Linked DNA regions of Stegostoma tigrinum. The protein of the gene in region 3 binds, or shares a complex with, the protein of the main gene of each other region. Links are inferred from orthologs where the notes say so. Each region holds a gene or a part of one and is shown on either strand. Other genes may lie near its edges.

Region 1 (7,161 bases), on a different chromosome or scaffold from region 3:
TAAAAGCAGGTAAATGAGACTAGTTTAGCTTTGGAAATCTGGTCAGCATGGACAAGTTGGGCCAGAGGGTCTGGTTCTACGCTGTACAACTATATGTTGCCAAAGCTTTAACGTCATTTCCTTTTAATGTCACAATAATTTACACTACAGGATAAAAGGAAAATAAATTGTTTTCTCTCAAATTCCTAATTTCAAAAGATCACAATCTAACCACTGCCCCTTGGCATTCAATGGTGTTATCATCACTGAATCCCCCACTATCAACATCCTGGGGGTTACCATTTACCAGACACTCAACTGGACTCAGACTGGCTACAAGAGCAGGCCAGAAGCTGGGAATACTGCAGCAAGTAACTCACCTCCTGAATCCCCAAAGCCTGTCTACCATCTACAAGGCATAAGTCAGGAGTGTGATGGAATACTCCCCACTTTCCTGAATGAGTACAGTCCCAACAACACTCAAGAAGCTTGACACCATCCAGGACAAAGCAGCCCGCTTGATCATCACATCGCATCCACTCCACTCCCTCCACCACTGACACTCCGTAACAGCAGTGTGTGTTATCTACAAGATGCACTGCAGAAATTCACCGAAGATCCTCAAACAGCACCTTCCAAACCCACGACCTCTTCCATCTAGAAGGACAAGGGCAGCAGATATATGGGAACACCACCACCTCCAAGTCACTACCATCCTGATTTGGAAATATATTGACGTTCCTTCACTGTCACTGGGTCAAAATCCTGGAATTCCCTCCCTAATTGCATTGTGGGTCAACCCACAGCAGGCGGACTGCAGCGGTTCAAGAAGGCAGCTCACCATCACCTTCTCAAGGGCAACTAGGGATGCGTAAGAAATGCTGGCAACCAACAAGGCCCACATCCCACAAATGAATTTTTTTAAAAATTAGGATTTCTTGCAATTGTCCTGATCAACACAATGCAAAAACTTCAGTAATACATCTCTCTTTTCAACAACATTCGAATCCCGTTATTCTGGGGGTTTTTTTAGAGAAAAATAAGGCTTTGTCATAATTTTTACAAATATCAAAGATTAGAACATGAGTAATAATTCAGCAGGACAAGTAACAACATTTCTACCCAGCAAGGTCCCAGGTTTGTATGGAGCTTCGCTGGCATTCAGGGCACTATAAATGGCCTCAAATAACCTGGGTCAAGAGGAGGAAAAGTGCAAATTTCCTCAATGCCAGTGGCTAGGTGGAAGACTCCAACACATCTACAGCTTTCAAGTTAAATGGTGGGAATAAAATTGACAGGATAATAACCAAATATGGAGCACACTTATTGGAACTGTCTAACCTGTTTAACATTTATTCACAATGAGCAGAATGCAACCATTATACTGCTGAGAGAAGTGAATATCTTATATTGTGCTCCTGAGATGCTGCTTGGCCTGCTGTGTTCATCCAGCTCCACACTTTGTTATCTTGGATTCTCCAGCATCTGCAGTTCCCATTATGTCAGAATAATCTGTGGTTCTCCAGCAATGTCAGGTTAAACCACGATCAGTCGTCTCTCTCTCTCTCTCTAATGAGGGCAGCCATATGGTCCTCACAGAATAGAGACTTTACTTTACAGTTAAGGACACAAGGTATAATAGAATATTACCCACAAGGAGCAACCTGGCAGAATGTCTACTCATTCTGACTCACGTACCAATCACTGAAGAACTGTTTTAGTTCTGAAACCCCAGTTACTTATCTGCTGAAATCATTTTACAGTAAAATTAACAGGGCCACATTTCATACCTTGAAGAATATATTCCATCATATTAATGGTTCCACCAATGACAGGTAACACCGTAACAGGAGGGGCCTCCATTTTGACAAGTCTCCAGGAAACCTACCTGTGGGGAGGGGGAAAGATGCTGTGAAGAGACTGGAATGTTTGAAAAGTGGACATCTTGAAAACCAGGGTTTCAGTAACATAGGGGCTGGTTTTCTGGATAGCTGATTTATATACAACGTTATGCCAACATAATGCCACAGGAAATACAAGCAGGATGAGGCCATTCAGCCCCTTGAGCTTGCCCTGCCATTCAATAGGATTGTGGCTGATCCAACATCTCTCATGTCCACTTCCCACACCAGCTGAGGTTACCATGAATCTGAACCTCAACCCTCACCAGGGGGACGTCAACCCTCACCGGGGGGACGTCAACCCTCACCGGGGGGACTTCAACCCTCACCGGGGGGACTTCAACCCTCACCGGGGGGGCCTCAACCCTCACCGGGGGGACCTCAACCTTCACCGGGGGGGAGGGGGGGGACCTCAACCCTCACCAAGGGGGGGCCTCAACCCTCACCAGGGGGACTTCAACCCTCACCGGGGGGGGCCTCAACCCTCACCGGGGGGGCCTCAACCCTCACCCGGGGGACCTCAACCCTCACCAAGGGGGGGCCTCAACCCTCACCAAGGGGGGGCCTCAACCCTCACCAGGGGGGCCTCAACCCTCACCAAGGGGGGGCCTCAACCCTCACCGGGGGGGCCTCAACCCTCACCCGGGGGACCTCAACCCTCACTGGGGGGGGGGACCTCAACCCTCACCAAGGGGGGGCCTCAACCCTCACCCAGGGGGGACCTCAACCCTCACCCAGGGGAACCCCCAGGTTAAACCAACATCAGTCACTTCTCAGAATGAGAGCGCAGCCCCACGGGAGCATGGAAACTGTCCCAATTTAATATGAGTGACAGAGCCCCCTCCCCTGAACACAGTCACATCTCCCCAGGACATCGGGGGCAGTGTTCCAGAGACGGGAGACCGGGATGCTGGAGGAGGAAGGAAACATTGGAGAGGGGGGGTGGGGGGGAATGTGTGACAGGATCGTGCCGGCATTACCCCCCCCCCCCCCGAGAGCGGGGGGGGGGTATTTGTCTCTCGGTCCCAGGAACCTCACCGGAAGTGACCCGCGTGCAGACGCCAATACCGTCCGGGCGGAAACCGGAACCGGAAATGTATAGGGTGCCCCATCATTTGTGTTCCCCAAGATCGCTTCCTCGCCCTCCCCCGCGGCCCCACCCCCCCCATCCCCTCCCTCCTTCCCCACTCCCCTCCTCCCCGTCCCTACCCCGCTCCCTACCTCCACCCCCCTCCCCCACCCCTCCAATACCAAGCCCCCACCTCCCCCTACCTCCTTCCCCTCTCATCCTCCACTCACTCCTCTCACTTCCCACCCCTACCCCCCTCCCCTCCCAACCTCCACCCCTACCCTCCTCCACCCCTACCCCCCTCCCAACCTCCACCCCCTCCCACCCCACCCCTACCCCCCTCCCAACCTCCACCCCTACCCCCTCCCACCCCACCCCCCTCCCAACCTCCACCCCCACCCACCCCACCCCTACCCCCTCCCAACCCACCCCTACCCCCCTCCCAACCTCCACCCCCACCCCTACCCCCTCCCACCCCACCTCCCTCCCAACCTCCACCCCCACCCCTACCCCCTCCCCCCTCCCAACCTCCACCCCCACCCCTACCCCCTCCCAACCTCCACCCCCACCCCTACCCCCTCCCAACCTCCACCCCCTCCCAACGTCCACCCCTACCCCCTCCCAACCTCCACCCCCTCCCAACGTCCACCCCCACCCCTACCCCCTCCCAACCTCCACCCCCTCCCAACGTCCACCCCCACCCCTACCCCCTCCCAACCTCCACCCCCACCCCTACCCCCTCCCAACCTCCACCCCCTCCCCCACCCCTACCCCCCTCTCAACCTCCACCCTCACCCCTACCCCCCTCCCAACCTCCTCCCCCTCCTCCACCCCTACCCCCCTCCCAACCTCCACCCCCTCCCCCATCCCTACACCCCTCCCAACCTCCTTCCCCACCCCTCCCCTCCTCCCCATCCCTACCCCCCTCCCAACCCCTACCCCCCTCCCAACCTCCACCTCCACTCTCCCCTCCTCCCCATCCCTAACCCCCTCCCAACCTCCTTCCCCACCTTTCCCCACCCCTAAACCCTCCCCTTCCTTACCTCCTCCCCTCCCCCACCCCTCTCCCTGCCCCAGATCCTGAATAAACAAGAAGTCCATGTTTGAACCCTGACATCCCGCAGTGTCGCTGAGCTGCTGGCCATTCCCAGAAATGTTCCCTCATCATTGCTGTGACAAAAAGTGACCCTGGGGGAGTTGAACATGAGACAAGCTGAATCTTTCTTTTCTATTCACTGTCAGATGTAGGTGTTGTTGGCTGGACCAGCATTTATTACCCATCCCTAGGCACTCCTTGAGAAGGTGTGGATGAGCTACCTTCTTGAACTGCTGCAATCCACCTGATGTGGTTTGACCCACAATGTCTTTAGAGAGAGAATCATTCCCAGCAGCTGGAGACTGAAAACATCTTTCTGATCTCAAAGTGTTGCATTCAAAGCTGAGCCGGAGACTGTAAAAACACCTGAATATTCTGATGGAGGCCAAGGTCCTGAGCAGCAACTTGACATATCCGATCTCTCCTTCCTAAAAGGACCCAATTTTACAGACTGGTACCAGTCTTTATATGGTTGCCGAGCTCAGTCTCTGGACAGTCGTTAAACAGCTGGAATATTTTGATCCAATGACTGCCTGCAGTTTTCCTAAGTAATGCCTATTTTTTGGGAATGCATATTTAAGTGAATTGCCTGTATGAGATGCTTAATCCTCTTTTGAAAATGTTAACATGGTGAAATTGGACAGTTTATCCATAAGCTATCTCTTAGTTCAAACACTGCGCCCTTATGATCCACCTACAGGTAATATTTACAACACCAGCCCAGAAAATTCTGAAGAAGGGTATAGGCCTGAAATGTCAGCTTTCCTGATCCTCTGATGCTGCTTGGACTGCTGTGTTCATCCAGCTCCACACCTTGTTAGCCCAGAAAATACTGTACCCAGGTTCAATTCAAGTCCTAGTGATAATGGGAACTGCAGATGCTGGAGAATCTGAGATAATGAAATGTGAGGCTGGATGAACACAGCAGGCCCAGCAGCATCTCAGGAGCACAAAAGCTGACGTTTCGGGCCTGGACCCTTCATCAGCGAGGGGGATGGGGTGAGGGTTCTGGAATAAATAGGGAGACGGGGAGGCGGACCGAAGATGGAGAGAAAAGAAGATAGGTGGAGAGGAGAGTATAGGTGGGGAGGTAGGGATGGGATAGGTCAGTCCAGGGAAGACGGACAGGTCAAGGAGGTGGGATGAGGTTGGTAGGTAGGAGATGGAGGTGCGGCTTGGGGTGGAGGAAGGGATGGGTGAGAGGAAGAACATGTTAGGGAGGCAGAGACAGGTTGGACTGGTTTTGGGATGCAGTGGGTGGAGGGGAAGAGCTGGGTTGGTTGTGTGGTGCAGTGGGGGGAGGGGACGAACTGGGCTGGTTTTGGGATGCGGTGGGGGAAGGGGAGATTTTGAAGCTGGTGAAGTCCACATTGATACCGTTGGGCTGCAGGGTTCCCAAGCGGAATATGAGTTGCTGTTCCTGCAACCTTCGGGTGGCATCATTGTGGCACTGCAGGAGGCCCATGATGGACATGTCATCTATAGAATGGGAGGGGGAGTGGAAATGGTTTGCGACTGGGAGGTGCAGTTGTTTATTGCGAACCGAGCGGAGGTGTTCTGCAAAGCGGTCCCCAAGCCTCCGCTTGGTTTACCCAATGTAGAGGTAGCCACACCGGGTACAATGGATGCAGTATACCACATTGGCAGATGTGCAGGTGAACCTCTGCTTAGTATGGAAAGTCATCTTGGGGCCTGGGATAGGTGTGAGGGAGGAGGTGTGGGGGCAAGTGTAGCATTTCCTGCGGTTGCAGGGGAAGGTGCCGGGTGTGCTGGGGTTGGAGGGCAGTGTGGAGCGAACAAGGGAGTCACGGAGAGAGTGGTCTCTCCAGAAGGCAGACAAGTGTAGGGACGGAAAAATGTCTTGGGTGGTGGGGTCGGATTGTAGATGGCGAAAGTGTCGGAGGATGATGCGTTGTATCCGGAGGTTGGTGGGGTGGTGTGTGAGAACGAGGGGGATCCTCTTTGGGCGGTTGTGGCAGGGGCGGGGTGTGAGGGATGTGTTGCGGGAAATGCAGGAGACGCGGTCAAGGGCATTCTCAACCACTGTGGGGGAAAAGTTGCGGTCCTTGAAGAACTTGGACATCTGGGATGTGCGGGAGTGGAATGCCTCATCGTGGGAGCAGATGCGGCGGAGGAATTGGGAATAGGAGATGGAATTTTTGCAGGAGGGTGGGTGGGAGGAGGTGTATTCTAGGTAGTTGTGGGAGCCGGTGGGCTTGAAATGGACATCATTTACAAGCTGGTTGCCTGAGATGGAGACTGAGAGGTCCAGGAAGGTGACGGATGTGCTGGAAATGGCCCAGGTGAACTGAAGGTAGGGGTGGAAGGTGTTGGTGAAGTGGATGAACTGTTCGAGCTCCTCTGGGGAGCAAGAGGCGGCGCCGATACAGTCATCAATGTAACGGAGGAAGAGGTGGGGTTTGGGGCCTGTGTAGGTGCGGAAGAGGGACTATTCCACGTAACCTACAAAGAGGCAGGCATAGCTGGGGCCCATGCGGGTGCTCATGGCCACCCCCTTAGTCTGTAGGAAGTGGGAGGAATCGAAAGAGAAGTTGTTGAGGGTGAGGACAAGTTCGGCTAGGCGAATGTGGGTGTCGGTGGAGGGGGACTGGTCGGACCTGCGGGACAGGAAGAAGCCTCACACTTTGTTATCTTCAATTCAAGCCCTAGCAGAATTGTTGTCGTTCCTTAGGTCTGTCAGTTACCGCACACAGACATGAGCCATCGACCCCTGTGAAACTATTGCATGTATACTCCTATAAAATAAATACTTCAATAGAGAACCAGTCAAGTCTTTTATTTCTTTTGTGAAATGCTTTCAAAAAGACAAATCAAATTTCACTGTTGGAATGGACTAAAATCTCTTCACTTTGTCAAAGTCCTCACTACTTTGATCAATATTATGTTTGGCGTTTTCCCACTGACCAATCGGCTGATTCAGGTGTCCACCTGTTTTTCACCTGCTCTGGGTAAAGTGTACCGGGTCTGGGTTTGAAATTGTGAAGGAGTGCAGCATAGCTTTCCCCGAGTGATACCTGGACTTGCAGCATCGAATTATAAAAACCACAAGCCATAGCCTCACCCCGGACCACTAGCGGCTTTGCCTCTGATCCCCA
Region 2 (7,549 bases), on a different chromosome or scaffold from region 3:
GTTCCAAACGAAAGTCATACTGTACTTCAAATGTTAACTTTTTTTCTTCCTCCACAGACGCTGCCAGACCTGCATAGATTCTACAGTTCTTGCTCTTTTCACTTCAGATCTCCAGCATCCACAGTAATTTGCTTTTATTTTGTACAAATTCGTCATAACCTCTCAGCCTTTATATTTTTACCTATCTTACGACTATCTTCAGAGATCCATGGACATGCACTCCAATGTTACTCTGTTACTTCTCAGGAACCTATCAGTAAATTTGACCCTCCCCAAATGCATTACCCCAGGCTTCTCTGGAATGATTCCTACTCAACACTTCTCTGACAAGATGGCCAATCCACACATATTTTCATGCAGTCTACTGCCAATTTCTTCACTATCATGCTACCTACGTTTAAGTATAAACCATCGCTATATATCGCTTACAACTCAACCTCTTACAAAATCCAATAGAAACAAACTTCCAATCTCGAAAGCACCAATTTCCCTTAGCAAAAGAGATCATAAACTAATTAAAATAATTTGTGGAAGGATTAGAACAGGGTTAAGGAGAAATCTTTTCACAAGAGTACTGGGGTTCTGCAACTCCCTGCCTGTAAAGATTGTACATGAATAAAACCTCATTATATTTATAAAGTATTTGGACATGCAACTGAAGCGCTGTCATGTGGAGATTATGGACCATGGGCTAGAAATGGGGGAATTATGCTGATTAGCTCTTTTTCAGTCAGAGATACGATGGGTTGAGAATCTCCCTATGCTGCAAATCTATGATTTTATGTCATAAACAAATCAATATGAAAGTGACCGTTTCTGAATCTCCATGGCACACATGGTGGAGTTTCAGTTTCCATTTCCTATACACTTATCTGCAGCCTCATCTGGTTCTGCCATTTACTAAGGGTACATCCATAAGTGTTATGGACGAAATAAACTGACCTGATTTATCTAGCAAGCAGTACAATTATAAGGAACATCACTCACACAAGCCTGAAATAAGTAGTGGTATTCATTGACAAATAAAGTGTATTTGCCCTCAATGACTTTTAAAGAGCCTCATGACATTGGTGATGACAGAAGTGGCCTGAAAAATTTTAGTCAAAGATTAAATGGCAATGTTTTGATGACTGCAGTCATTGTAAGGATAATCACATCTAACTTTGATACGAGGTTTACTTGAACTGTTGAAATTTCAACAAACACAATTTTGATGGGAAAGATTGTGTCCAGATAGACAGAGTATCATGTCACCTTTTTATTGGTGGATAAACTCAATCAATCCTACTTATCACTCCACTTTTTGATTTTATCCAACAGGACCTAGGATGCACGAGCTCACAGATCACCCATTCAGGTTAATAAATTCAGCTATTTAAGAAGGGCTTGGGCCTGTTGTCACATAAAGCAATAGATGAAGAGGGTAACCAAATCTTCCACCAGTGCCTGAAAGCTTGTGCAGGTGAGGGATTTTCAATGTGGAGCCAAAGGTGCGGGGGGTAATTCATGTCATTTAATAATTGCTTTTGAATTCAGTAAAGGGGCAGGTCACGAATACCTCCGTTATGCTTTGAGGTCCCTACCCCTGGGGTCCAATGCCCACCCTTAGGCCCCAAGAAACAAAAATATAGTTCAGGAACAGGCCCCTTCAGCCCTCCAAGCCTGCACTGACATTTTCCCCTTCCGTACTAGAACTGTTTTCACTTCCAGAATCTGTATCTCTATTTTCCCTTCCTATTCAAATATTCGTCCAGGTTCTTCCTGAATGCTGCTATTGTATCAGCTTCCACCAACTCCTCTGGCAACGCATTCCGGGCACTCACCATCCTTTGTGTGAAAAATGTTCCTCACACATCTCTTCTAAACTTCCCCCTTCACACCTTGAACCTGTGTGGCCCAGTAAATGACCCCTCCACCCTGGGATAAAGCCTTATACTTCCATTGATCCATGCCATTCACAATATTACAAACTTCTATCAGGTCGCCACGTCAGCCAGTAAATCCCAGTAAACCTTTTCTGTACCCTCTCCAAAACATCTACATCCTTCTGGTAGTGTGGTGACCAGAACTGTATGCAATATTCCAAGTGAAGTTCAATAAAGCTCCAGCATGACTGGTCTATCCTTATACTCAATGCCCCTTCCAACGAAGTCAAACATACCATAAGCCATTTTTACTACCTTATCTACCTGCACTGCCACCTTCCGTGATCTGTGGACGTTCACAACCAGATCCCTCTGCATGTCAACACTCCTAAGGGTCCTGCCATTCACTGTATAATTTCCACCTGTACTTGACCGTCCAAAAGGCCTCACCTCACGTGTGTCTGGGTTAAACTCCATCCGCCACTTTTCAGCCCATTCGCCTAACTGATCTCCATCCTGCTGTAACCTCAAGCAATCCTCCTTCCAGTCCTCAACTCCAACAATCTTTGTATGGTCTGCAAACTTACTAAGTAGATCAGATACATTTTCCTCCAAATCATTTACGTACAGCCTCCAGAACCAAAGCCCACCCAATGTTCTTACCCCTCTGGTCCATTATCCAGCCTCAGGCCTCTAACTCTCAGACCAGATGTTCACTTTCAGGCTCCTGCCCGTCGGAATGGATGCCTACACTCAAGCCCTGACCTTTTGGCTCCAATACCCATGCTTAGGCCCCTAACATCTGGGTCGAATCCTTACCCTCAGGTTCCCATACCTTGGCCCCTCCAGGGCCGATGCCCACCCAAGACCCCCCCCCCCCACCGAGGGCCGATGCCCAGCCTCAGGCCTCTGATCACCTGGGGTCTCCTGCCCTTGGAGCTCCTTGGCCCCCAGCAGACCGAGACCCCCGCCTCGAGGTTACCGGCCTTTATTTACCTGTCGCCTCTTCCTTGCTCCGCTCGGCGTGTGGCGGCTGGTGCTGGGGCTGCGGCCCGGCCGATGTGTCGACGCAGCCACTGTGGCTGTAAGAGACCGAAACGGGGAACCCCTGCAACGCCGCCATCTTCCCCTTCCTCCCCTTCGCTCGGCCCGGCCGCGCAGGTTAACGGCGTCACATCCGACGCAAGGGATCAAGACGTCACTGAAGCTGGTATATCGCCCCCTGGAGGCAAACTGGGGGAAACTGCACCCAAACTGCAATGTTTCCCCAAATTGAATAAAATTGTTCAGAAGTTCCCCCTTTTGTTGAAATTATGGATCTTTCTTATTGTGCAGGCTTCCTCCTGCTCCTCGTAAGACTCCTTTTTTAAATCTTTCCAGGAAGATAGACAGAGGACACAGATTTGTGAAACAACTGAAGGATAATTTCATTTATGCCATCCCAGAAGTGATGGAGACAAAGGAACCATGTTGTCTAATGAAAGCGATAAAGGCAACTTCATGGATAGAATTTCCACTTAAAATTTTCAAGGGGAGTGTAACTGTATCTGTAGTTATCATAATGTGGTCAACCAGAATATGATTTCTCTGATTGGAACTGTTAATCTGCCCCAATCAGTGAGCTCTGGCTGACAGATATAAACAGGTGGGTCAAGATGCTGCTTGACCTGCTGTGTTCATCCAGCTTCACACTTTGTTATCTCGGATTCTCCAGCATCTGCAGCTCCCACTATCTCGGGTCAGAGATTCTGTTCACTCTGAGAGTTGGCTCTAAGGAAGCTGGAGCAGTGTTACTGACTCTCCATGTGTAAATAAAGGGTGACTTGGTGATGGGATACCGGCCTCGTTGGAGCTATTTCAGTACCCTGTATGTGTGTGATATTACGTAGATAGTTCACAATGAGACAGGGTCGCTTGTAGCTGGGGGATTAAAATATAGTTACTTTAAAAAGTCTGGATTAAAAATTTAGCAACAACAATAGCTGTAATGACATTACTGGAATATGATGAAAATCCATGTGTTACACTAATGTCTCTCAGAGACATTATTGCTTTACTAAATTACAAGACATCGGTGACAAATTAGCAAAATGTAAAAGCAAAACTAAACTAAAAGAAAATAAAATAAGGAGATAGTGAAGTTTCACATCTCACTGCTCATCCCAGAAGTACCAAAAGGTACCGAAATGAAGCAAAATGCAGGGCTGTCAGGGTGACAGAATGCAAATTAATAGAAACTTGAAGCGATCAATGAATCCCATTTGATATGAATTGTAGCAGAAGCTGTAAGGATCCATAGAAATTTAGGGTGCGGTCAACTTGGGCAAAAAGAGTGGGATTTAATCTCATTATCATTGAGCCTGCTCTTGGCACTGGTAGGAGTTGGGAATCTCTTGTGGGAAGGATGCAGCCAGTTGAATTGGGCATGACCATGGGTGACAGTGCTTTACTGCTGTCTCATATTGCAGGGATAGCTCAGACACTGGCAGGTTCACTTCACTTTATGCTTAGGCAGGAGAAGCTGCCATTTTTTTGAAGGGAAGAAGGCCCTGAGTAGCAGCTGCAGCCCTGCATGTGGATTCTCTAAGGACATATCCGAACAGAGGTGCAGGAGTGGGCCATTCAGCCCATTGAGGCTGCTGTGTAATTCAACTACATCATTACTGATCAACTGCATCAATGTCATTTTTCTATGTTATTTCCAAAATTGTTTAATGCCACTAATCTAAAGAATTTAATTTATTTCTGTCTTGAATATGCCCAATGATTGAGCTTTCACAACCCAATCACAGCATTCCAAAGATTTACCACTCCCTGAGTATTAAAAATGTTAACTTTATGTATTAAATATTATGGTTTTCTTCATTATTTTAGATTACTACAGGATGTGATATGGAAAGGAAGAAGAAAATAACTTTTCCTGCTGGAACTAGCAATTGCTGACAATGACACCTTGGGTATAGAGAAGGAGAAGAGGAAACCTGAAAACGGACAAGAGACTGTTCTGATAGCAACTTGCCTAATGTTACCTCATGTTAATTCAACTTCCTTCAGCAGTTTGCCCCATCTCCCTGTTTGCAACGTTCTAGAAACTTGGTGTTATGTGGGACCACCAGAATGCAAATACTCTACATGGTTTGAAGTCCCTATCTGCTAATCCTTGCATTTGGCATTGTAAAAAACCAATCTAAAAACAAATAGGCAATCCCTCCACATAAACAGCAGTGAAATCACACAATTCCAGACCAGTTCAGACAAGCAAGGTATATCTTGCTCCCCAGAGGAGCTCGAACAGTTCATCCACTTCGCCAACACCTTACACCCCAACCTTCAGTTCACCTGGGCCATCTCCAGCACATCCCTCACCTTCCTGGACCTCTCAGTCTCCATCTCAGGCAACCAGCTTGTAACTGATGTCCATTTCAAGCCCACCGACTCCCACAGCTACCTAGAATACACCTCCTCCCACCCACCCTCCTGCAAAAATTCCATCCCCTATTCCCAATTCCTCCGCCTCCGCCGCATCTGCTCCCACGATAAGACATTCCACTCCCGCACATCCCAGATGTCCAAGTTCTTTAAGGACCGCAACTTTCCCCCCACATTGATCGAGAACGCCCTTGACTGCGTCTCCCGTATTTCCCGCAACACATCCCTCACACCCCGCCCCCGCCACAACCGCCCTAAGAGGATCCCCCTCGTTCTCACACACCACCCTACCAACCTCCGGATACAACGCATCATCCTCCGACACTTTCGCCATTTACAATCCGACCCCACCACCCAAGACATTTTTCCATCCCCTCCCCTGTCTGCTTTCCGGAGAGACCACTCTCTCCATGACTCCCTTGTTCGCTCCACACTGCCCTCCAACCCCACCATACCCGGCATCTTCCCCTGCAACCGCAGGAAATGCTACACTTGCCCCCACACCTCCTCCGTCACCCCTATCCCAGGCCCCAAGATGACATTCCACATTAAGCAGAGGTTCACCTGCACATCTGCCAATGTGGTATACTGCATCCACTGTACCCGGTGCGGCTTCCTCTACATTGGGGAAACCAAGCGGAGGCTTGGGGACCGCTTTGCAGAACACCTCCGCTCAGTTCGCAACAAACAACTGCACCTCCCAGTTGCAAACCATTTCCACTCCCCCTCCCATTCTTTAGATGACATGTCCATCATGGGCCTCCTGCACTGCCACAATGATGCCACCCGAAGGTTGCAGGAACAGCAACTCATATTCCGCCTGGGAACCCTGCAGCCATATGGTATCAATGTGGACTTCACCAGTTTCAAAATCTCCCCTTCCCCTACTGCATCCCTAAACCAGCCTAGTTCGTCCCCTCCCCCCACTGCACCACACAACCAGCCCAGCTCTTCCCCCCCACCCACTGCATCCCAAACCAGTCCAACCTGTCTCTGCCTCCCTAACCGGTTCTTCCTCTCACCCATCCCTTCCTCCCACCCCAAGCCGCACCCCCATCTACCTACTAACCTCATCCCACCTCCTTGACCTGTCCGTCTTCCCTGGACTGACCTATCCCCTCCCTACCTCCCCACCTATACTCTCTCCACCTATCTTCTTTACTCTCCATCTTCGGTCCGCCTCCCCCTCTCTCCCTATTTATTCCAGTTCCCTCTCCCCATCCCCCTCTCTGATGAAGGGTCTAGGCCCGAAACGTCAGCTTTTGTGCTCCTGAGATGCTGCTTGGCCTGCTGTGTTCATCCAGCCTCACATTTTATTATCTTGGAATTCTCCAGCATCTGTAGTTCCCATTATCTCTGAAGGTATATTAGAGACTGTGCACTCTGCAGCAACCCATGTTGCTCAAAGCCATTCTCCTAACCACAGTGCCCTAGTCAAAAATTATATGAAAAACTTACCACTTGCCTTGATAGGTGGACTCTAGCTCTATTCATGAACTTCAAAAATTTTCATGGATAAAAACAATGCATGTATTTGGGAGCCTAGCCAATACTTTAAACCTTCATCCTCTCTGCCAGCAGTATCCCTATCTCTGGGGCAGGACATCCCTGCTCAAGTTGTCTCTGCCCCAGCCATGTGTAATAATATTTTTGAACAGGTTGACTGGAAACTGTCTACGGTACTGTCTATACTGCACTGTGGAAAAAAAACTCTCTAAGGTGTGTCCTCAGCAGTATCTCCCAGATCTGCAGCCTTCACAAAGAATCAGGGCAGCAAGTATACATGAACATTGATATTGACCATATTTTTATTGTTGTCAAACTCCTGGAGTTCTTTACCTAAAGCCATTGTAGATGCGTCTTCACCACATAAGTTGCACTGGCTCAATAAAGCCCAACAACATCCTGTTAAGTACAATCCAGTATGTGTAATGAATGGGAGCCTTAATAATAAGGCTCATATTTTTCAAAATTGTGATGTTCTCATGCTTTAGTATATCTGTCATTGGCAAGGCCATTGTTTATTTCAGCTTTTCCTATCAGACTTTTCACTGTAGGATGGCAAGGCAATAACTGTAGAAGGGGTATAGGGTAGTCAGTGACATGATTAATGGGTTTAAAAAGGAACCATTGCTGATTCTTGTTGTTTTGTATCAGTCCTAGTATTGTTGGCCAATTGCTGTTTAGAAATTCAAAACTTTTTTTTCTGTGTCTTCAGTTTACCATTGGATGGAAATTGTCCCACAATGTCTGCA
Region 3 (7,058 bases):
AAGTATGTATCAATTGCAGCAGTTTGTAGTACTCTTGAGTGAGTCAAAAGGTGTTTCACTTGGTCCCACTCCAGATGTTAAAACACAAATCTAGGATAACACCCAGCACAGTACTATCAGAGATGAGGTCTTTCAGATAATATGTTAAAGTTCGGAGCTACTGGATGAACACAAATAAAAATGACACCATGAGAAAAACAAGCACCATCCCCAGTGTCTTGGCCAACAATTATCCTCCAACTAATCTCAGCAAACACTATCCGGTCACTATCACATTGTCAAGCAATCTGCACTAATTAAAAACCAAAAGAACTATGGATGCTGTAAGTCAGAGACAAAATTGAAATTGCCGGAAAAGCTCAGCAGGTCTGGCAGCATCTGTGGAGGGAAATCAGAGTTAACTTTTGGAGTGACCCTGAGAACTGAGAAAGGGTCACTTAGCCCAAAAAGTTAACTGCTTACTCTCCACAGATGCTGCCAGTCCTGCTGAGCTTTTCCAGCAATTTCTATTTTTGACTCTGCACTAATTGGTTGCTGCATTTCCTACAGAACAATAGGGCCTACACTTCATTTCTCTAGGATCTGATTTTTTGCATCTGTAATATTTTGCTTCCACTGTAACATCCTGCAGAGCTGCATTAAGACTGAGATAGTGAAAAGTGCAGCATAGATGCAAGTACTTCTTCCTTTGAAGAACTAGACTTGCATTCATAGTACAGTACAGCATAGAAACAAGGCCCTTTGGAGCAAAATGTCTTTACCAGCTTTGATGCTGCCACATCATCTGTAACCCTCTACATCCTGCCTGTTCACGTATCTGCTTAAACACTTCTTAAAGTTTGTAAACATATCTGCTACTACCACCTCCTCGGCAGCATGTTCCAAGCACCTACCACCCTGTACAAATCTTTCCCCCTCTCAACTTAAACATTTGCTCCCCGTAGTATTTGACATTTCCATGCATGCAAAAGACCCTGACTATCCACCCTATCCATGCTTCTCCTATTTTTATATACTTTTATTAGGTTGCACCTCAGCCTCCAAAGCTCAAGTGAAAACCATCCAAGTTTGTCCAATCTCTCCTCATAGCTAATACTCTCCAATCCAGATGATATCATGGTAAAGGTAACAAGGTGTAGAGCTGGATGAACACAGCAGGGCAGGCAGCATCAGAGGAGCAGGAAAGGTGACGTTTTGGGTCTGTTCCCTTCTTTATGGTAAGCCTCTTTTACAACCTCACCAAAGTTTCCACATCCTTCTCACAGTGTCGAGACCAGAACTGCACATAATAGTTTAAATGTGGCCTAAAGAAAGTCTTAAGTCTTATACAGCTGCAACGTGACTTGCCATATTTTATACTTAATGTCCCAACCAATGAAGGGAGGCATTCTGTATGCCTTCTTTACCATCTTATTCACTTGTGTTGCTACTTTCAGGGAGCCATGGACTTGGACTCCAAGATCCCTCTGTGTATCCATGCTCCTCAGGGTGTTACCATTAATTGTATGCTTTTTCTTGTATTTGATTTCCCAAAATGCATTACCCCACATTTGTCTGGATTAAACACCATTTCTCCACCCACATTTCCAATTGATCTCTATCATAAAGCCCTTTCTATGCACACCACATCTCCTAAAGTGCCTTTATGATATTTTATATTGAAATCAAAAGACATTGCAGATGCTGGAAATGATGTGCAGTCACTTAATGTCAGAAATGCAGCAGCGAAATTTGCACACAGCAAAATCCCACAAAGTCTTGGCATTTTTACTACATGCAGTGGCACAACGGCTGCGGTTAGCAATGTTGTCTCCTACTGCCAGGGACTTGGGCTCAATTCCACCTTCTGGCAGCTGTCAGTGTTGAGTCTGCATGGGTTTCCTCTGGGTGTTTTGGTTTCCTCCCACTGTCTAAAGATGTGCATGTTAGGTAGACTGGCAATGTTAAATTGCCCATAGTGTCCAGGGATATGGAGGCTATAGATGGGTTAGCCACGGGAAATGCAGGGTTATGGGACAGCAGTTTGGTTGGGATAACACAATGGACCGCTTCCACACTGTAGGATTCTATGATGGAAAGAGGCACTACAACTCGTCATGCTAATGCTGGTCACAAAGCATCTATCTACTGTAATCCCAGTTTTCAACATGTGGCATGAAGCCTTGTATGCTACGACATTTCAAGTACTCATCTAAATACTTCTTAAATTAATTGAGGTTTTCCACTTCTACCACCCTTCAGGGCAGAGAGCTTCAGATACCAACCACCCTCAGTGAAAAAAAATTCCTCAATTAGTCTATAAATTTCCTGCTGCTTTCTGTAGAACTGCACCCCTGGTTATTGACTCCTCTGCTAAGGGGAAAAGTTCCTCTCTATCTACCCTTCAAACATTTATACACCTGAATAAGGTGGATCACTGTTCTCTGCTCTGAAACAACCCCAGCCTGTCTTTCCTCTCTTCAGAGCTAAATCACTCCAGCCGAGGCAACGTCCCGGTGAATCAGTTCTGAAGAAGGGTCACTGGACTCGAACTTTAACTCCGCTTCCTCGCCACAGATGCTGCCATACCTGCTGAGTTTTCCCAGCAACAGCCGTTTTTGATCCTGGTGAAACTTCCTCTACGCGCTCTGCAGCACAATCACATCTTTCCTACCGCACAGCGACCAAAAATGCGCACAGTTCAGCTGCGGCCTAACTAACGTGACGCACAGCCTCATCGTAAATCTCGATGTTCTCGTAGTTAACACACACACTGATCAAGTCCAGAGCTGATGTGCCTGCTTAGCCTGTCCTGCTCTCTTCGAGTCTCCAGCCCACAAATGCCATGACGAGCTGAGGACTGAAAGTCTCTACACTGCGAGGGGAAAACGGGATGGATTCGGGCGGGGGGGGAACACGAGTGGAAGTGATTTCCTCCGACAAATGAGTTACTGTGAGGGTCGAGCTCAAGGGGACGATCCAGTCCCGCTGACGACCCCTTACCTGCATGGCAACCCCAGCCGCTACCTCCCGGTTTCCGGTTCCGGGCGACGGGGCCAGGGGTCAGAGGTGACGTGTATGTAGGTTGATTGGGGGAGGGGGGCGGTGTGCCGGGAGATGAACCGGGAGCGGCAGAGTGCTGCGATTCTAATCGATAGGCGGCGGGGCGGAAGGCCGGCCGGCCGGTGGGCATGAGAGCGGCCATCGAGCATGTCTGGGGGAGAGAGAGACTCCGAGGTAAAGGGAAGGGCCCAGGTTGGGGTGCGGTGTCAGCAAACAGTGAGGGGCGGCCCCGTGGAGGGCACGGGACATGTACAGTAAGGTCCGTGCGACCCTGCCTTCTGCACGCAGCTCCTTAAACTTTGCTAGCATAGGATTTACGGCTCTCCGTCTGATTGTTTTTTTTCTTCTCGTGTCGGAGAGTTAAAAACCCAGTGAGCTGCACATGAATAAATACGCGTTTGGGACTGTCAGAACAGCAATGACAGCTCCCGTGTTTGTTCTGGAGGAGGTTGCTGTGTCATCAGTGAACTCCGAGTTTCATCAGCTGACCCAACTTTGGAGAGGACTCCTGAGATAAATTATTTCCCACTGTCTCCAGCGTGGCTAGAATTTGCATCCTCAGTGATGGACGACAGACACATGCTGGGGTGGCCAGTGATGCCGACATCCTGTGAATCAACAAACCACAGTGTCTTGTAGGGGCTTTTATACGCTGCCTGTGCTACTTGTTGTTAACAGTCAAAATATGAAATGCTTCCTGGGCAAGCAGAAGACATCTGCTTGCCTCACACCATGGAATCTTGACACATGTTGTCTGGGTCTATGCGCTTTAAGTCTTGTTTATAAGGTCCTCAAATTTTGCTAATTGTGCAGATAAGCACTCATATCATATCAGAAAACTAGTATATTTGGATAAAATTAACTAAAGCTGGTATGTAGATGATAAAAAAGCAATATCAAACCACAGCAAATGTAGGAGCTAATTTTTGGAGCAATAGTATAAAAAAATGACTGACAAAAATATAGCCATTGGAACCTGTGGAATTTTGAGGAAATATACCTGGTGAGTATGCGTTGTATGTTTGGAAATTTCTTTTGGTGATATCAAAGGGTGTGTTTAGTTGGAGCTCCAGTGCAACGATCAGATCATGTCCTGTGACAAGATGTTTCCTGTAACTAATATAGTTGGCTTTATGTCACATCAGACTTGCAGGATAACAACTCTGATGCTTTTAAATATTTCTTTGCCTGCTGGGAGATTGTGATGTTTCACAAAATGGTTGTGTTTGGCTACTGAAAAATGTCTGGTTCTGAATATCAGGGGAAAAAAAATAGAAGTAGTAAATTCTCTTTTGGGTTTAACATGAACTTTTCATGATCATCTATGATCATATTGAATGGTGGTGCAAGCTTGAAGGAAAGAATGCTTACTCCACCTATTTTCTATGTTTGCAAGAAGTAAAGAGAGACATAGGAAGGTATCTACTTCCAATTAGAAATGCTATATTTGATTTAATAACCTTTTTCTTGCTGATGAAGTGTAAAATGGACTTCCATTGAGTGCCTTAGTTGCTTAATTTTATGAGAAGTTAATCGAAGGACCAAAGAAAGAAAGCAAACTAAGGAGCAGAAAGAAAATCACTCAAATCTCATTGATGCAAAATCATCCAAGTATTTATAGTCTTATTAATGTGTGATCTTGTATACTAGTAGAGCTTCTGGTGACCTAAAGTTCTAGTTCCAAGTCACATACTTTTGTTTTGACAGGTGGAAGAAGCAGGACAGGTTTTCTTGCTTATGAAGAAGGAATATCGGATTTCCCGCAATGTAAGATTAGCTTGGTTTCTCAACAGACTGAATCAAAGCATTCGACCGATGTCCACGTCAGAGCTTGTGAGTGAAACGGTGCCTTGAATTGTTCTGTGACCTCTTTGTGAGAACATGGATGAAGTAGTGGGAACCTAATATGGTGTATTAATCTTTGCATGAAAAGTAAATTGCAATCTCAGTACATTGGGAGAAAATTAGATGGTCATGTTCTTAGTTTAAAATATCTATTTGTAACACAAGTATTTTCAGGACATGTTAGAATAGATAATTACACTAATGTAATTGCCCTGTTGTTTTCTGAAATGACTGAGAATGTGAACTCATTAATTTTTTCCGCCCTCCCCCACCACCGACTCAAACAAAGGACACAGCGTCCAACTGAAGTGAAAAAAATATAATATTTGTGAATTGAAATTGGGACCTTCTTGGTCTGCATGGCTCAGTTTGACATAATAGAGTGCTGGTAGCCACTGAGCCAACATGCAAAATCTCCTGATATTACCCAAGATTGTGGATTGATCATGCAATGATGGGAAGCCCTAGTGATTCTGAGAAAATCTGTAATTTTTTTCCCCCTTCAGCTGTTGATCCAGTTCCCTTTTGAACCTGCCTCCTCCATATTCTGAGGAAGTGCATTTGAAATTGTAACCACTCCCTGCGTAGAAGTTTTTTCCTCACATTGATTTTGCTAATCAACCCAAATTGGTGGTGTTTTATTTTTGTCCTTCTGCCAGTGGACATAGATCCTGGCAGTGTTGGAGTGAACCTATCTGTAAGCTTTTTCAGACATTTCTATCAAATTTCTTATTAATCTCTAAGGGGAACAATCTCAGCATCTTTCATTTATTCAGTAATTGAAGTCCTTTTATTCCTTTTTGCTTTATAATAGTTGTAACATATGCCATTGTGATGCATCTCACAATTATCCTTTCTCTCTTACAGAGCAACTCCAACAATGAATTGGATGTTCTCAGTGTCCTACCAAAAGGCTGGCAACCAGATGAACCAGTTGCTGATCAAACGTACCAACTGGTACCCTCAACCACTATTACCTTCCTTGCTCAGCGATACCGCTTTGTTATTGAGCTGGATCTCAGTCCATCTACAGGGATTGTGGTGAGTAATTGTTGCATTTGGTGGGAAGAGAGAGAGGTGGCACGGTGGCTCAGTGGTTACCCCTACTGTCTCACAACACCAGGGACCAGGGTTTGATTCCAGCCTTAAGTGCCTGTCTGCATGGGGCTTGCATGTTCACCCTGTGTCTGCTTGGGTTTCTGCTGGTTGATTTGGTTTCCTCCCACAGTCCAAAGATGTGCAGTTTAGGTGGATTGGCTATGTTCAAGTGTTCCATAGTGTCTACAGATGTGCAGGCTAGGTGGACTAGCCATGGTAAAAGCAGGGTTATGGGGATCAGGTGGATGGCTGGGTCTTGAAAAGATGCAGTACCAAGGGTCAGTGCAGATTCGATGGGTTGAATGGACTCTGTCCGCACAGTGGGGATACTGTGATTAAATTTGAAGCTATCGAAAGTGAACATCTCAATAAATATTTTGAATTTCATCAGCTTTGACAAAAAGTTTTCTTTAATTACATGTATGCATATTTTAAAATATTTTATTTGAAGAGATGCTGGTGTACAGGATGAACAGCGTTTATTTCCCATCTCTAATTGCCCTTGAGAAGGTGGTGGTATGCCGCCTTCTTGAACCACTGCAGCCCATGTGACGTCAGTGGATTTTAATTGAGTGATCTTGTCGGAATGGCGACATGGTTTGTTGTCAGGATGTTAATGGCTTAAAGAGGAACTTGCAGGCGTTTGAATTTCCATGTATCTGTTACCCTTGCTCTTCTAGGAAGTGGAGATCAAGAGTTTGGAAGGTATTTTCTAAGGACCCTGTGTGAGTTGTAAACAGTGAACAGTGCAGCCACAGTGTTTCATGGTGTTGGTTAAATTGCCAATCACTTGGGCTGTTTAGTCCTGGATGGTGTCATGCTTCTTGAGTATAGTTGGAACTGCACCTGTGCAGACAAGTAGGGAGTGTTCTGTCATATTCCTGACGTGTGTGTGTAGATGATGGACAGATATTGGGGAGACAGGGTGAGTTACTTCTCTCAGAAGTTGCAGCCTCTGACCTGCTGTTATAGCCATGTTATTTATGTAACTATTACTGTTCAGTTTTTGATCAGTTATGACTCCCTTGAATGTTGACAGCGGGGGATACAGCGATGGTAATGCCATTTAATGT
Region 4 (7,489 bases), on a different chromosome or scaffold from region 3:
CACCTAGCCTGCACGTCATTGAACTGTGGGAGGAAACCAGAACACCCTGGGAAACCCATTCAGACAAAGGGAGAATACGCAAACTCCACACAGACAGTTGCCCAAGGGTGGAATCAAACCCGGGTCCCTGGTGCTGTGAGGCAGCAGTGCTAACCACTGAGTCACCGTTCTTTGGACCTCACTGACAACTTGTATTGCAATGCTCCTGACAGGCCATTGGAGACAGACCCATCTCTTGCATGGGAGCAAGCTGCATCTCGAGGCTTTTTGCTCGTTCCCCTTAGCATTTTGGGACTGTCTGGATCCTCACAGCACGTCTGTCCTGCGTTGCCTTCCTGCATATTGCCATATCATTCAGAAAGGGTAACCCTTTAATATTTCTGTCTTGCCTGTCTTTCATCAGGGACACAAAGCTAGGCAGCTTGTCATGGTTGTCAGAAGTGATCAGTCAAGGGGGTGGACATAAAACTGTCTTGCATCATGCTATATCAATGTCATACTTACAGCCTGTAGGCAGCTTGTGTGATTAAAGCACTAAGTGTGCCTTAACTGAATGCCATGTTTCAAAGTTTAAAGACAGTAGTCCTCATTCAAGTCAAAGGTAACTGTTGAACCATGACAAGCTGCCTAGCTTTGTGTCCCTGATGAAAGACAGGCAAGACAGAAATATTAAAGGGTTACCCTTTCTGAATGATACGGCAATATGCAGGAAGGCAACGCAGGACAGACGTGCTGTGAGGATCCAGACAGTCCCAAAATGCTAAGGGGAACGAGCAAAAAGCCTCGAGATGCAGCTTGCTCCCATGCAAGAGATGGGTCTGTCTCTAATGGCCTGTCAGGAGCATTGCAATACAAGTTGTCAGTGAGGTCCAAAGAACGGTGACTCAGTGGTTAGTACTGCTGCCTCACAGCACTAGGTGTAGAGCTGGATGAACACAGCAGGCCAAGCAGCATCAGAGGAGCAGGAAGGCTGATGTTTCAGGCCTAGATCCTTTTTCAGAAATGGGGGAAGGAAAGGATGTTCTGAAATAAATAGGGAGACGGTGGGGGGGGGGTGCAGATAGAAGATAGATAGAGGAGAAAATAGTTGGAGAGGAGACAGACAGGTCAAAGAGGCAGGGATGGAGCCAGTAAAGGTGAGTGTAGGTGGGGAGGTAGGGAGGAGATAGGTCAGTCCAGGAGGGACAGACAGGTCAAGGGTAATAGGTACTGCAGATGCTGGGGAATCCGAGATAACAAGGTGCAGAGCTGGATGAACACAGCAGGCCAAGCAGCATCAGAGGAGCAGGAAGGCTGACGTTTCTGGCCTAGACCCTTCATCAGAAAAAGGTGGCGGGTTGAGGTTAATCGGTAAGTGATGGGGGTGGGGCTTGAGGTGGGAAGAGAGGATACGTGGGAGGAAGGAACAGGTTAGGGAGGCTGGGATGAGCTAGGCTGGTTTTGGGATGTGGTGGGGGAAGAGGGATTTTGAAGCTTGTGAAGTCCACATTGATACAATTGAGCTGCAGGGTTCCCAAGCGGAATATGAGTTGCTGTTCCTGCAACCTTCGGGTGGCGTCGTTGTAACTCATATTCTGCTTGGGAATCCTGCAGCCCAACGGTATCTGATCGTTGCATTCTCTGACTGATCTCCCAGCTTCCTCTCTACGTACGGTGGCTCAATGGTTAGCACTACAGCCTCACAGCACCAGTGACCTGGGTTCGATTCCAGGCTCAGGTAACTGTCTGTGCAGAGTTTGCATATTCTCTCCGTGGGTTTCCTCCGGGTGCTCTGGTTTCCTCTCACAGTCTAAAATGTGCAGGCTAGGTGGATCGGCCATGCTAAATTGCCCATAGTATTCAGGGGTGTGTGGGTTATAGGGGGATGAGGATGGGTCTGGGTGAAATGCTCCAAGGGGTGGTGTGGACTTGTTGGGTCGAAGGCCCTGTTTCCACACTGCAGGGAATCTAATCTAATAACATTGTGCTTACCCAAAAACTCTGATGTCCACATCATAGCTCCCTTCCTTATTTTCGAATTGCTCCTTAGCTTTCTACATTTCATTCAATAGCCTGCTGTATTTCTAGTGTCTTATTTTATTCTCTAATCAACACATTCAGAGATGTATCAGAGGAGCAGGACGGCTGCGTTTTGAGTCTCGAGATTTATGAAGAATGGTCTAAGCCAGAAACACCAGCCTTCCTGCTCCTCCAATGCTGCTTGGCCTGCTGTGTTCATCCAGCTCTACACCTTGTTATCTCAGATTCTCCAGCATCTGCAGTTCCTACTATCTCTGTTCAGAGATGTTATTGGATATCTTTGGGGCTTGTGGGAATGCTGGAGACTACAACAAGTCAGGTAGCGTCCATGGAGAGAAAGCAAGCTAACGTTTAAGAGTCTAGATGAGCTTATCAGAACTGAAGTCAGGTGTGGGGGGGGAGCAGCACTTCTGCAACAGTTGGGGAGGGGTTCGAGTGCTGGGGGAGAAAGGCTGTTGATAGTTTAGATTAAGTGATAGGAATATCAGAATGGCAGAAGAATGGTGCATCTAACTGCCAGACTGGAAATACCTAGGTCTCCTAGTCTAAAGTTACCACTGCACCACGAAAACCCAATTCGAGCGACTTGCAGATAAACGACTCATTCCGCTTCCTTGACCTGTCCGTCCTCCCGGGACTGACCTATCGCCTCCCCATCTTCTCCTCTATCCATCTTCGGTCCGCCTCCCCCTCGCTCCCTATTTATTTCAGAATCCTCTCCCCATCCCCCTTTTCTGATGAAGGGTCTAGGCCCGAAACGTCAGCTTTTGTGCTCCGGGGATGCTGCTTGGCCTGCTGTGTTCATCCAGCTCCACACTTTGTTATCTCGGATTCTCCAGCATCTGCAGATCCCATTATCACTGATTACCTTTACCTTCACCTACCTGAGGGCAACGTTCCCTTCGAACGCCCACTGGGCATACGGGGCAGGAGTCCTTTACCCTAAGGGCGGGACGGGGCGTGCCGCCCACTGGGTGGTCCCTCCTCCCTGGGGCGGGGCTCATAGGTCCCTCCTCCCCCACACACACACGACACATGGGGGCGGGGCAGCGTTCCCTGGGATCTTCTTGCTGAACGCGGTCGGATATTTATGTTTGTGAGCTGCGTCATGCGGATGATTCCGAGGTCCAGCTGGAAGTGAAGCGGGGTGGGTTTTAGTCCGGAGTGCGCCGAGCCGAGAGTTGTGTTTTTGTTGGGTTTGCGCTGCCATCTCGTACTGCCACCATGGTGAAAGTGTCCTTTAACTCTTCGCTGAGCCAGAAGGAGCCTAAAAAAGAGGAGAACAACGAGGCGCTCGTCATCCACGAGAAGGTACGTTTACCGGGGGCGGGGGCTGTTTGGGGAAAGGAGGGGGATGAACTGTCCGTGGTTTTTCAGTTTATTGCCGGACCTTGGACAAAGTCTGGACAGTGTTTTTGGAACCAGGGACTGGGCTTTCGATTTCCAGTTTGTGACCCGGAATGCGGCCTTTGGTGGCCTGATCTCTTTGCCCTTCCGTGCATCAGCTGTCCCTGGATATTGAGCCCGGGTCATAGTCCCTGTCCTCGGATGTGGGAAGGAGTCGACTTCGACCGTTCGCTGTAAAATGGCTGACGGTGTGGCTGGGGCCCATCCTCTTCGTCCTGACTGTCTGTCTCTTTCCCTCCCCCCCCCCCCCCCGCGGAGGAGGCATCGGCGTCGTTGGGAAAAGTCCACGCACGCTTGGCGATCGCCCAATACCCTGCATATGGGCCAACCCCACTTCTGCTTTTGGATTTGGGGAAATCCGATCAGGGACTGGTGAATGTTCCCTCACTAGGTGGGGTGGTACAGGGAAAAAAAGTCACTTTTTAAAAAAATCCTATTGGTGCACGCTCTTACAACTTTCAGATTCAATATCAGGGTGTCTGCACAAATCTTCTGTCACATTGTTGAAGTACGTCGGGTTCGGGGAAAACAACGGGAGAGATTATCAATTGTTACAATTTCTGATGAACTGGATTTTTTTTTTAAAAAAGTCAACTTTTGAAATGGTTTAGCATAGAGAAGACCATGCATTAGATCTTTTAGGTGGCAGAAAATTCGAACTTGACAAAAAAAAGCGAAAGTTCTGTTAACTAACTAGTAAGTACTTGCACTTCGAACCAAAATTCCCCACTCGACTTTTCCGCCTGTTCTGGTTGCACTTTCAACTTTCGTAGCTACATGACGGGACCCGAAGTTCTGTTCTAATTTGGAACCAAGCTACTTTGGACTCTTGCTCGCAAAAGATTCTGCTTAGTTTGCTAGCTTGGCATTCAGATTTCCTAATCTCCTGTTTCTGCAAGGACTCTGCCAGTTTCATTACCAACTTGGTAGATCTGGCAATTTTAATTTTTCAAAATGCAGGAGGCACATAAAGACACTTTGCCTATAGAGGCAATGTTAGGACAAAAGAACCTTGCTAAACTCTATGGACCCATTTCCATAACCTGGGCAATGGTAGTGCACATGGCCTGTTCCCAAACACCTGTAAACTGTTATTTGAGGAAGAAGTGAATACTTGATGTCTTATTGTCTTGATGTCTACAAACATTTTAATTGCAAGAATAATTTAAACTGCTCCTCCTACGCCCTGACTGTTTTTGTTTTTACTGGCTTTCAATTTAATATGAAATATTCTTGCAAAGTGCTTATGGCCTGTCTTCTCAAGATATTTAGAGAAGCCATTGTAATCCAAGGCATGAATGCCTTGCCACCAATCCAGCAACACAGTAGAACTCTTTCTTCACCCTCTTCTCCCTGCTGACCAAATCCAGGAATTCACGCCTATCTAATAACTTGGTTTTAATAGACTGCCTTTTCAAAATTTAAACCACGTCTTAAAAATGTAGTTTTCAAAACTAAAATGGTCTTGTCTGTATTTGGAACACAGTAGTGATTAAAGGTTTGTCAAATGATTTTTTATTTTGAATAAAACAAATTTTATAAAATGGTTTTCTTTTGATTTGAGGAAAGGTGGAAGCTTTGTGGCAGGAACCAAGAATGTGAGATCTAGGTGTCCTTCTAGCTGATGTGGTCGAAGAGGTTTGCTGTATAGATTGGAGTGGTTCCCTTAGCATACAACTTGAGACCCTACATTAGACTACTATGGAACACCAGTTGATGATGAGTTCTGAAAGCTTGGTACAGAAGGCTTTAAGAAAAATATTAAAGGACAGTGGAGGTAAGGAGAGTTTGGAAGACAGAATGCTTAGGACCTTGGTATAGCCACAAAATGGAAGAAATTAAATTTGGGGATTCTCATAAATTCACTTTTTAAATATCTTGGAGCTTTGTGGGGCGACAGCACATTACTGTAATGTGGAGAATTTGGTAGAGGTGGTTAAAGTTTAAAATAGGCATAATAAGTTTAAAGTTGAAGGACCAGAGACAATGGCATCAACAAGGATAGGTGGTTGGTGGTACTCTAAAATACTCGCACTCACTGACCTGCACCATGTTGGTGACACATCTAGTCCCTTTAGCTGATGTACATTATGCTGTGTTTTGTTTGTCCAATAACTTGAAGCATGCTATCGACAATTAGCCAAAAACATCTCTGACACTGATGTGATCTCAGGCTCATTGGTAATGCCATGGCAGTTTGTCGTGTTATAATTGTTAGGCTTCATTTCCAACTCCTGTCATGCTAATGAATGATATTAGGGTAGTGCTTCTGCTGAATGCTATTAATTGGGCATGAAACACAACTTAATCAGCAACTCCTGTGTGCATATGTGAATTCCAGCTGTAAACTTTTGGTTTACATAAACAACCTCAAGACTGATGTGTAGCCAGGCTGTGCTGCAGAGATTTCTGATTCTGAACCTGAGATAACAGTTGCACGTATTGTACAATTTTAGTTTCCATGTTCTGGAAGGATATTGGAGTATACAGCCCAGACTGCCTAGAATGCTTTTTGATGTGAGGAATTGAAAAAACTTGAAAATTGAGAACATTTTCAATTGAGCAGAATGTTTAAGGTGGATTTCATAAACTATCCATTGACAACGTTTGGAACTATTACCTCTCTTGACCCTTCTGCCTGTTCTCCCTGAATTCAGACTGCTGTATGGTATTTGACATCCAGCATTGGATGAACAGAAAATTCCTAAGAATTTGAAAATCTGAAGCCATAATCTTATCTCCACCTCAAACTCTGCTCCCTGGCTGCAAAATCCATCACTTTCTCTCTTTCAGCACTAACCCTCAGCCAGAGTATAAACAACCTTTGTCATATTTGACTCTGGGGTTAGCTTTCAGTCACATGATCTAATGTTGCCCAATGTCACTTCCCTGATCCTAAGATGCTGCTTCACCTGCTGTGTTCATGCAGCTCCACACCTTGTTATCTCTATCTCTAATGTTGCCTATCTCTAGTTCACCTTCAGTTATTTCTGAGACTTCCAGATCTGACTGTTCTAGCGTTTGTAAATTTCTATTCACCCTCCTCAGTTTTACCTGTGTGAACTTGAGATGCACTGCTTATCATAATACCCACCAAATGTCCTTGCCATCAAACTGCACTAACTCAGTTGACTCACAATTAATGCATCTTCTAAAATTCTCCCTTTTCTTGCTTTCAAACTATGCTGAGACCTTGCCCTGTCCTGTGTCTACTTAATTCCAGCCCTGAGATCTGAAAGATCTTCACTCTTTATTCTTAACCTCTTGAGCATTTCCCATTTGCAGTTGATGGCAGTACCCTTAATTGCTGAGGCCCCAAGCTTTCGAATATCGTCCCTACGTATCTTCATGTTTCTATCTTGCTTTTCATCTTTTAAGATAGTTGTAGAATTGTTAAACCCATGCCCTCTTTTGTACTGTCCTACCAAAGCAAAATGACCTTGGCTACAGGTGTCACAGTGGCTCACTGGTTAGCACTGCTGCCTCATGGTGCCAGGGACATGGATTTGATTCCACCCCCTGACTGTGTGGAGTTTGCACATTCTCCATGTCTGTGTAGGTTTCCTCCCACAGTCCAACGATGTGTAGGTTGGGTGGATTAGCCATGGAAAATGCATGGCTATAAGGATAGGGTAGGGGGTTGATTCTGAATGATACACTCTTCAAAGGGTTGGTGTGAGTTTGATGGGCTGATGACCTGCTTCCACACTGTTGAGATTCTTTGATTTTTCTTTTGAAAAGAGAGATTTTCACCCTCTGTGCCCTCATGATTTCAAAAACCCTTATAAGGTCACCCCTCAGCCTCTGACCTTCCAGGGGGGAAAAACCCCAGCCCTTTCAGCCTCTCCCTGTAGCTCAATCTTTGTCGTCCTATCAACATCCTTGTAAATCTTCTCTGAACCCTTTCACATTTAACAATATCTTTCCTATAGTGCTTCAAAAACTACTTTGACCAAATTTTTAATCCATCTGTTTATATTTCCGTTATGTGACATGGTTCATTCAGTTTCATTATGCATCTTGGATGTTTCAAGGCATCATATACATGTTATCATTACAACTG

The links. The genes of interacting proteins can lie anywhere in the genome.
Region 1: med8 (region 3) and med18 share a complex: the UniProt entries of both Homo sapiens proteins name them as parts of the mediator complex. The link is inferred for Stegostoma tigrinum from reciprocal best matches to the Homo sapiens genes MED8 and MED18.
Region 2: med8 (region 3) and med1 share a complex: the UniProt entries of both Homo sapiens proteins name them as parts of the mediator complex. The link is inferred for Stegostoma tigrinum from reciprocal best matches to the Homo sapiens genes MED8 and MED1.
Region 4: med8 (region 3) and med4 share a complex: the UniProt entries of both Homo sapiens proteins name them as parts of the mediator complex. The link is inferred for Stegostoma tigrinum from reciprocal best matches to the Homo sapiens genes MED8 and MED4.

Annotation. Positions count from the first base shown.
Region 1 is NC_081377.1:42,903,666-42,910,826, forward strand, and holds the start of med18 (mediator of RNA polymerase II transcription subunit 18), read right to left. Parts: upstream 3,010-7,161; 5' UTR 2,919-3,009; intron 2,880-2,918; exon of another isoform or gene 2,400-2,879; intron 2,358-2,399; exon of another isoform or gene 1,868-2,357; 5' UTR 1,843-1,867; coding exon 1,770-1,842; intron 1-1,769. UniProt on the Homo sapiens protein: Component of the Mediator complex, a coactivator involved in the regulated transcription of nearly all RNA polymerase II-dependent genes.
Region 2 is NC_081384.1:9,381,440-9,388,988, forward strand, and holds the start of med1 (mediator of RNA polymerase II transcription subunit 1), read right to left. Parts: upstream 3,010-7,549; 5' UTR 2,989-3,009; coding exon 2,862-2,988; intron 1-2,861. UniProt on the Homo sapiens protein: Component of the Mediator complex, a coactivator involved in the regulated transcription of nearly all RNA polymerase II-dependent genes.
Region 3 is NC_081361.1:79,769,884-79,776,941, reverse strand, and holds the start of med8 (mediator of RNA polymerase II transcription subunit 8), read right to left. Parts: upstream 3,022-7,058; 5' UTR 2,989-3,021; coding exon 2,983-2,988; intron 2,974-2,982; exon of another isoform or gene 2,569-2,973; intron 1-2,568. Other genes in the region: KICSTOR complex protein SZT2, read left to right, coding at 3,190-3,216, 4,750-4,875, 5,755-5,928. UniProt on the Homo sapiens protein: Component of the Mediator complex, a coactivator involved in the regulated transcription of nearly all RNA polymerase II-dependent genes.
Region 4 is NC_081365.1:72,826,761-72,834,249, reverse strand, and holds the start of med4 (mediator of RNA polymerase II transcription subunit 4), read right to left. Parts: upstream 3,010-7,489; 5' UTR 2,904-3,009; intron 1-2,903. Other genes in the region: integral membrane protein 2B-like, read left to right, coding at 3,244-3,330. UniProt on the Homo sapiens protein: Component of the Mediator complex, a coactivator involved in the regulated transcription of nearly all RNA polymerase II-dependent genes.